Macaca fascicularis: one gene and its partner. The protein of the gene in region 2 interacts with the protein of the main gene of each other region in a biochemical or structural test. Links are inferred from orthologs where the notes say so. Each region holds a gene or a part of one and is shown on either strand. Other genes may lie near its edges.

Region 1 (3,810 bases), on a different chromosome or scaffold from region 2:
TGAACTTGTGGTTCTCGAGGATGTGGTAGAGGTCTCGGAAGTTGCCCGTGTGGAAGGCGACCACGGCGCGCGCGCGCAGGATCGACTCGTGTTTGTTGATGGCCTCGCACGCCCCGGGGGCCACGGGCAGCGACCAGAGGAAGCGGCCCAGCCGCTCGATGTCGCCCGTCTCCTCCAGCGTCTCACAGACGCTGGCCACCTGCTCCGGCGAGAAGTTGAGGGTGGGCAGCTGGAACATGGACAACTCTTCCGGGGGGGCCCTGGAGCCGCCGCCGCCGCCGCCTGCTCCGCCAGCACCGCCGCCTCCCGCACCGTTCCCTCCGCCGCTGCCGCCTCCCGCGCCGCCGCCGCCTCCCGCACCGTTCCCGCCGCCGCTACTCGCCAGAAGTATGGAGCGGTGGTGAGAATCGGCGAAGTTTGGCAACAAGAAGTGGGAGGAATAGAGGTCTAGGGGGGAGCGGAATACCATGGACTGACCTGAGAGGAGAGGAGAAAATTCAGGGAGAGGAAGAGAGAGGGGAGGAAGAGGAGGAGAGGGGCGATGAGGACCAGGAGGAGGGAGAGGAGAGGGGGGAGGAGAAGAAGGAAAGGAGGGGGGAGCAGGAGGAGGAGGAGGGGGAGGAGGAAGGGCGTAAAGGACACCCACACCCCACACACATCCACACACACACACACCCGCGCAGCCACATAGAGAGGGAGGAAGGAGAGCGGCCCGGTGCGCGCGCGCAGAGAGAGAACCCGAGACGGAGAGAGAGAGGGAGAGAGGAGAGGGAGAGCCAACCACCGCCGAGTCAAGATTCAGCGATTCCACCGCAATCGCCCTAATGACAACAGCCTCATAATATCTCCCCTAAATCCACAGTGAGTGCAGCATTGAAACATTTTGTTTCGCTTTTCTATTGGTCTGTGGCGTGTCGTTGTGGCGTTGCCACGGCAACCACTGCCAATCACTGTCAGCCCTGCCAATCAATACCGAGAACGTAAGGACGGTTTTACCACTTAGCCAGAGGGCGGGGGGAGGGGGAGAGCAGGGAAGGAGGGAGAAGGGGGGGATAAAGAGAATTTTTTTTATCTTTGCAACTCTTAATCTCGCTACTTCCCCCTCTCTCTCTTCTCTTCTTCCTCTCTCTCTTCTTTTCTCTATCGCTGTCTCTGAGCCGCCTTCTTCCCTTTTCCCCAAAGAAGTTGATCCAGAAATTCGAAAAGCCCTGGGCACAGAGTTGTTGAATGGGATGTGCAATTAGAGCGGGGATTTTGTTGGGAGGCAAGAGGGTCCCCCAGGCTCCACACAGGCCAGGTCGGCGGGCAAGGAAAGACGGCTGACCAGCCCAGCGGGCGCGGTTTGCACATGGTTTGCACGTCGAGTCGCCTCTTTCTGCCTATGTGAGCACTAATAGTGGCAAGGAAGAAAGGAGAGATGAGATCATGGGGCCCACCAAGCACCGACCTTGGCCCAGCGGGCCGTGGCGCCAGCCAGGGATCCCGGATTCCGAGGGTATCTGGCGCCAGGGAGCCTAAGCCCAGTTCCCAGGGTGCTGGAGGCCGCTCTTGCCTCCCCCATCGGTGCCCATGGACCACATTCACCTCAGCTCCCTCTTCATCAGTTAGGCTTCTCTTTACTCCCTCCCCAGCCAAGGAGCCTCGATTTCCCCCACCACCCATTTTAAAATAATAGTCCAAACAGTACAGTTCTTTCCATCTTAAGAAGCAACTCAACTCTTTGTTTCCTCCCAGAATTCAGCAGCCTCTGTGAGGAGTGGTGGAGGAGCTGCGGGAGCCGAGAAGCCCAAGAGCCCTCTGGACCCGGAAAAGTCCCACAGATGCCCACTCCTCACCACACAACAGAAGGATCTCTGGTCCTGCCTGCCAGCCCCAGAGGGCACTCAAACTTTGGAGGCCAGCCACCCGGATGAAGTGAATAAGGCCTGAAATTGCTTGTTTGCTCGTATTGTAAAATAATAATAATTACCATTATTATTTTAAAACTGCCTAATTTCTCTAGGGAAAGTAACATTGAAAGCCTAAAACACACCCCAAAAGGCCCATAGAACACAGAGGGCCCTCTCTGTCTCTGGCCACTACAGCCCCCAGGCCAGGCATGGGTATTTATTCTTAGGTATGTTGCTTTTAAGAAGATGTAATCAGCATCTTGAGCCGGGCCTCCCTTTGTGAGGCTTCTGTAACTATGGAAGTGTGATTTACGCAGATTTGTCGGGGTCAGAGACGTCTTTCCCTGAGCGCTGTGTATATTTAGACAGGACTCGGTTTGGTGTTAAAAAGTGTATATGTTGAATAGATTCACACACAGTAGCCAACAATGACCACATTGTCGGCCCGTGTACAACGCGTATTGAAACGCAGCGCCCAGACTTCAACTAATCTGCCCTCAATAAAGCTGAAATAATTATCCTAAGCTGCCTTTCCAGAAGAAAAATCATTGAGGAATTCAAAACTTTTTTTTTTTTTTTTTTTAAAAAGATCTTTTCTGCATTCCGATGCAGATCTGGGGGCAAGGCGCCGGGTCCACACCACTTTGGTGATCTCAATGAGGGAAGAGAGAAAGAGAGGTTGAGAGAGAATTTAAATGGGAAACCTAACGTGACTGGGGCTGCGAGTGTCCCAGCCCCTAAACTCCGAGCTGGAGCCCTGCTTAGGCCTTGACTCCCGCAGTGCCAGGCCTCTGAGGGCCGAGGGGAAGAGCAAGCCGGCAAGTGCAAGCCTCCTTGGAGGCTTCCGGCGGCAGGGAGGCCCTGGGACCGGCGAGGGGCCAATACTGGCTCACTTAGCCAGAGGCAGCCGTGAGGTAGCAGGTCTTAAACACGACGACTGGGGCAGAAAAATATTCCTCCAAAGGGAAGACCTGCCAAGCCCCATTTCAGTGCTCTCTCCACTCCTGCCAAGCCCCATTTCAGTGCTCTCTCCACTCCACATATATTTCCTCCCCTCCCGGCCATGAGTCCTCCTCCAATGCAGCTGAGAAGCTCTGGGCGGTCGTTCACTGAGGGCCCAGAAAGAGCCCAAAGGTTGGGACTCAAAAACAGACACTTCATGTTTTCTTCCCGATCCCTTTCTCTCGTAGGGGAAGGATTATAGGCTGAAGGGTGGGAGGGGGAAGGGGCAGGAGGAGGAAGCGGGGGAGGAAGGAATGAAAAAGGGGAGGGGAGTGGGTATTGTGCCGCGTGTGGGGGGAGAATTCCTACGGGTGGGTTTCCGAATATTGTGTTCAACTTTTTGAAAGCAGCTCGTGACCCCGAAACTGCATCCCCCGGAGCCAGGGACCCAGGCGCCGGGCGGGCGGGTGAACCCGGTCAGTCCCCTCCCCGTCCCCGAAACCCCCGCCTCCGGGTGGGGGCGACCTGGCCTCTCCCTGCCACTGCCGGGCCAGCCCCGGAGGGAGGCTGGGCAGGTGCTGCGGGCTCTGCGAAAGCGCTGAAATCAAAAACCATCGCCACTCAGGGAGAACTGAGGCAAGTGGGGCTGAGACTCTGGCGACACCCCCACTGCCTCCCCCTAGCCTCTGCCCCAGAGCCTGCCGCCCCGTCGCACCCCGCCTGCTCGGGTGGTGACCGCGGCTCCGGAGCGCCAAGCAGGGCAGAGGGCTGCAGCTAGGCGTGTAGCTTTGTGCGCCGGGACCCGGTGGGGCGGGTGGCATCCCGCGCTGTCCGCGCCTCCCAGCAGAGCCGAGCTCGGCGCCGCCCACCGAGCCCACCTCGCGGTCCAGCCGCCGCCAGCGCCTCTCGACTCTGGCCTGAAGCACTACTCTCGCCGCCTGGAGCCGGTAAGTTGAGAGTCCGCAGAGCAGGGCAGGGA
Region 2 (3,810 bases):
GCGCGTCGTCCCATAGCGCCCCCGCCTGCGGGGGGAAGGCCGGCGTGGTGGGGGTGGACGGTGGGGACTGTTTGAAGTACATGGAGGTGCTGGGGAGCACCTCGTCCTCTGGGCTGGAGGCGGGAGGAATGGATGGCTGTTGATGCTGCTGCTGGTGATGGTGGTGGTGGTGGTGGTGGTGGTGGTGATGGTGGTGGTAGCTGGGCGCCCGCCCCTCCTCCACTTTGATCAAGGGCCGCTGCATTTGGTACACGCAGGAGGGCTTGAGTTCGTAGTTGCTCGAGTAGCCCTCGACGAAGGTACTGATGCTGGGCAGGGACGTGGTGGCTGTAGCCGTGATCTCAGTGCTGCCGAGGTCCATGGTCAGCTTGGTGTAGTCAGGGTTCATGATCTCCGTGGCGTATTCCGAGCTGTATGTCTGCGCAGCATAACTGGAACCTGGAGGCGAAGGGCTATATTGGGCTTGGACGCAGGGCATATCTGCAGGGACCGAGAAAAGGGTCTCTCAGAAGCAAGTTAACACTTGTTTTCTAGCCAACAGGCAGCACTGAGTTCACTGTTCTCTAATCTGGGAAATAGAGAGGAAGTGTCATCCTGTCCTCCTCCTGGTAGCACAGACACAAAGCCCCACACTTATTTACTTCATCCCTAGTAAGGAAGCTGAATTCTTGACAAAGGGGTGCCAAAACCTGACCTGTGGACCTCTGTGCCTATCTTCCCTCCCTTGCCCTGTCCTCCACCAGATTTGGGAAACTTGAAGTCTTTCCTCATAAGCTCACAGATGTTTTTAAAAAGAGGTGTTGAGTCCTGTAAACTAATTGGAGTGGCCTCCTCAGCTATAACCTAGGAGGACAAAGAGAAAGCCAGCGGTTTATTTGGGGGGAAAGAGGCCATTGGTCCCCCAAGGCACACACATTGATTTGTAAACCTGAGTTAGTCAAAAAAAAGCTACCCTGTGAGAGATTTAGTGGCCAAGGGAGAGAGTTGACATTCTAACATTTTATGAGTGCCAATTGAGGCTGCCCACACACGTTGTGGTTGCTTTCTCCCACCCCCTCCCCACTCCTCCAATAGGGCTAGCAGCCTGCACAAACTGGACCCCTGTTGATAACTTCAGTCAGCTAGGTGGGGACATAGGCCCAGGAAATGGACTCGGGGGAGTTTATACCATCTGCAAAGAAAAAGATCAGCAGCTGCAACAAAACACCCACCCATATATATATATATATATACACACACACATATATATCCCAATTCTAACTAATAAAACAAATCAGTGGCTGTTTTGTGATAACAGTTTATAACTATTATAATAGGCAAGTTAGTATTGGTATTTCCTTATGACACTAGAATTAGTACCCCGATAAAGAAAAAAGCAGTTTCTGAATAGACTTGATTTCTCTGCCAGTTTGACTATGTTGCCCCCAAAGTGGCTGGTATCCAGGGTGCTTACTATTGTTCAGAGAGGCTGAACTGAGTGAGAAGGCTCTGAGAATTATTAGATGTTGTGGATGATTTATCTAATTATTTTCCTTTCTTTATGGCTAAATATAAATGGTAAAAAAACGGTGGTTTCTGGTGGTTGGTTTTTCTGAGCCAAAGGAAAACCAGGTGCTTAACGCCTCTTTGGAGTCTATAGTGTAAAAGGTGTGACTAATAGAGAAGTGAATACTTCACATTTCCTTTGACATCTTTCTCTTACCCACATTTCCAAATCTGATTGAGTCATGCATGTATGGGATGAAATCTTGACTTGAAAAAAGGTGATGAGGGCCTGTTGGAAGAAGCAGTGATGAGGAGAGGCCAGTTCAAGCTTTTCTTTAACAAGCAGGGCCTTAAAAATACACTCACTAGTTTGAAGTCCAGTAACTTATCTTGCTGTCCAGTTGCTGGGATGAAATGAAAGGCTAATCATTTAGAAGAAAGAACACTGCCTGATCTTTCATCTATTCTCCTTCTCCCTTCAGCACCTCTAGGATTTCTCCCTTAGTCTTTTCTGTCATTCTTTCCGGCCAGTCCCTTCCTATTGCTCTTATTTGTGTCTTTCTGAGGTTTCTCTCTAGAAGATGAGCTTGCTGGGATTGTATTCTATTTATTTGCATTATCTATTGTGCCCACACAGGCTTGGCACCTAGTATTCCTTTAACAAATTTGTAAAGAGGTGGTACAAACCAAACGTGCAATCTGTTCTTTCGCCAAACTCAAATTTACTCTTTGGTTTTCAGCTCAAATGCTTTTCTCCTTCCCTCCCAGCTTCAATCATCCAAACTTCTGCACCCAAATGATTTGAGTTGTATATAAATGAAAATGCTCAGTATTGCTCTAAGTGATTCCATAACTCTTACATGTGTACACTGACTACAAAAGAAGAGCAAAAATGAAATAAAAATGTGTAATATACCCTAATCTATTGGTGTATTTGTATTTCTCTTAGGAAAATTAATTTTGAGCAATGCAAGCTTAATTTAATTTGGCTGCTCCACTCAGTAGCAACAGGGTGTGGTATACAGAGGAGCTTCCCATGAGGAAGCCACCTGTGTTGTGAAATTCGCGGCCAGCCGTCACTGTCCTGGCACTGGGCAGATCGACCACGCTGCCCGCCGAGTGTGTGGTTCCCCCACCCACTTCCCTCGGCCAGGGAGGAGAAAAGGGTCGTGCCTTCGTACCTACCTGGAGGGTATCTTGCGCGCTGAATGGTGGGGCTGGGGGTCTCTCCAGCGGAGGCTGAGAGTGTAGGAGCAGCGGACGTCCGGTGAGGCGAAGTGCCGGCAGTGCTCCCCGGCACCGCTGAGGGTCCAGGCTCAGGGCCCGGGCTTGCCGGGCTGCGCTCTTCCACAGTGGGCTCTACAGGCACGGGGAGAGAGGACATAGGTCACAGTGAGACCAGGATGGGTCACTACGACCCGGGCTGGGCGCATTGGGGACTGGGGGAATTGGTTGGCGACCTCTAGAAATGCTACATTAATTACAAAGAATTATCATAAAATTAAGGGTGATTAATGGTACAGGAGTCCCCCTGGGCAAAAAGCATCACGCAGCCTTGGGGAAGCCGAGGAAAGGTTGTACGAACCCACTGCGCCTACCACTGTTTTGTGGCACTGGAACCGAGGCTAAAAAACGCGCAGCCTGTTATCGCCCAGAAATTGATCTCTCTGCCCCCACAATTGATTCCGAGCTTGCGAAGTCAGGAAAACCGAAGAAAGCAGAACACTTGAAGAACGAGCTCCGCCGGAATACGGGGGTCAGTGAGTGTTCACTAGCGGAAAAAAGCCATTTTCCAACTCCGCCCGCCCCCATCCCTCAAATACAAATTTTACACGTTGCATAGGAAATGCACAAGGTCCGGAACGAATGCATGAATGCCCCAAGGAATTAAGAAAGTCTGCGCTTTTCATTCTAAATGCTAATGGAGCTTCGCTTCTATTAGCCGCGAGTTTCAAGGGCCAGGGGTCAAGCAAACAAAAGGGCACAGCAAAGGAAGCCTGGCGCTGGAAGCAAGGGGACGAAGCGGACGGCGTTCGCGGCCGATGGGGCGGGCGAAGGCAGGTCCCCTGTACCCAGAGGGCGGTGTCTTCGAGGGTGGGCCGCTTAGAGACTCCCGGCCACCCAGCGGCCTAGAGGGGGCACATTCCTGAGGGCGCCCACCGCGGCTCCGGGACCAGCGTCTCAGCGCACAGCCTCAGCGAAACTTTGTAGCTGAAAGCGCAGCTCAGCAGGCCTCAGGGAAGGAACTGGGTGCCCCAAACTCCGGCCTATAGCGCCCCCTTTGCCCGGGGTGGGCACAGCTCGAAGAGTGGGAACATGCATCGA

What was found.
Region 1: the proteins of NR4A3 (region 2) and SIX3 form a complex in vitro, tested with the Homo sapiens proteins (3 studies listed by BioGRID). The link is inferred for Macaca fascicularis from reciprocal best matches to the Homo sapiens genes NR4A3 and SIX3.

Annotation. Positions count from the first base shown.
Region 1 is NC_088387.1:77,099,354-77,103,163, forward strand, and holds part of SIX3 (homeobox protein SIX3), read right to left. Parts: intron 3,779-3,810; exon of another isoform or gene 3,373-3,778; intron 2,414-3,372; exon of another isoform or gene 1,735-2,413; intron 1,384-1,734; exon of another isoform or gene 1,104-1,383; intron 478-1,103; coding exon 1-477. UniProt on the Homo sapiens protein: Transcriptional regulator which can act as both a transcriptional repressor and activator by binding a ATTA homeodomain core recognition sequence on these target genes.
Region 2 is NC_088389.1:58,296,786-58,300,595, forward strand, and holds part of NR4A3 (nuclear receptor subfamily 4 group A member 3), read right to left. Parts: intron 3,257-3,810; exon of another isoform or gene 3,071-3,256; intron 2,845-3,070; 5' UTR 2,671-2,844; exon of another isoform or gene 2,667-2,670; intron 1,775-2,666; 5' UTR 1,734-1,774; coding exon 1,703-1,733; intron 481-1,702; coding exon 1-480. UniProt on the Homo sapiens protein: Transcriptional activator that binds to regulatory elements in promoter regions in a cell- and response element (target)-specific manner.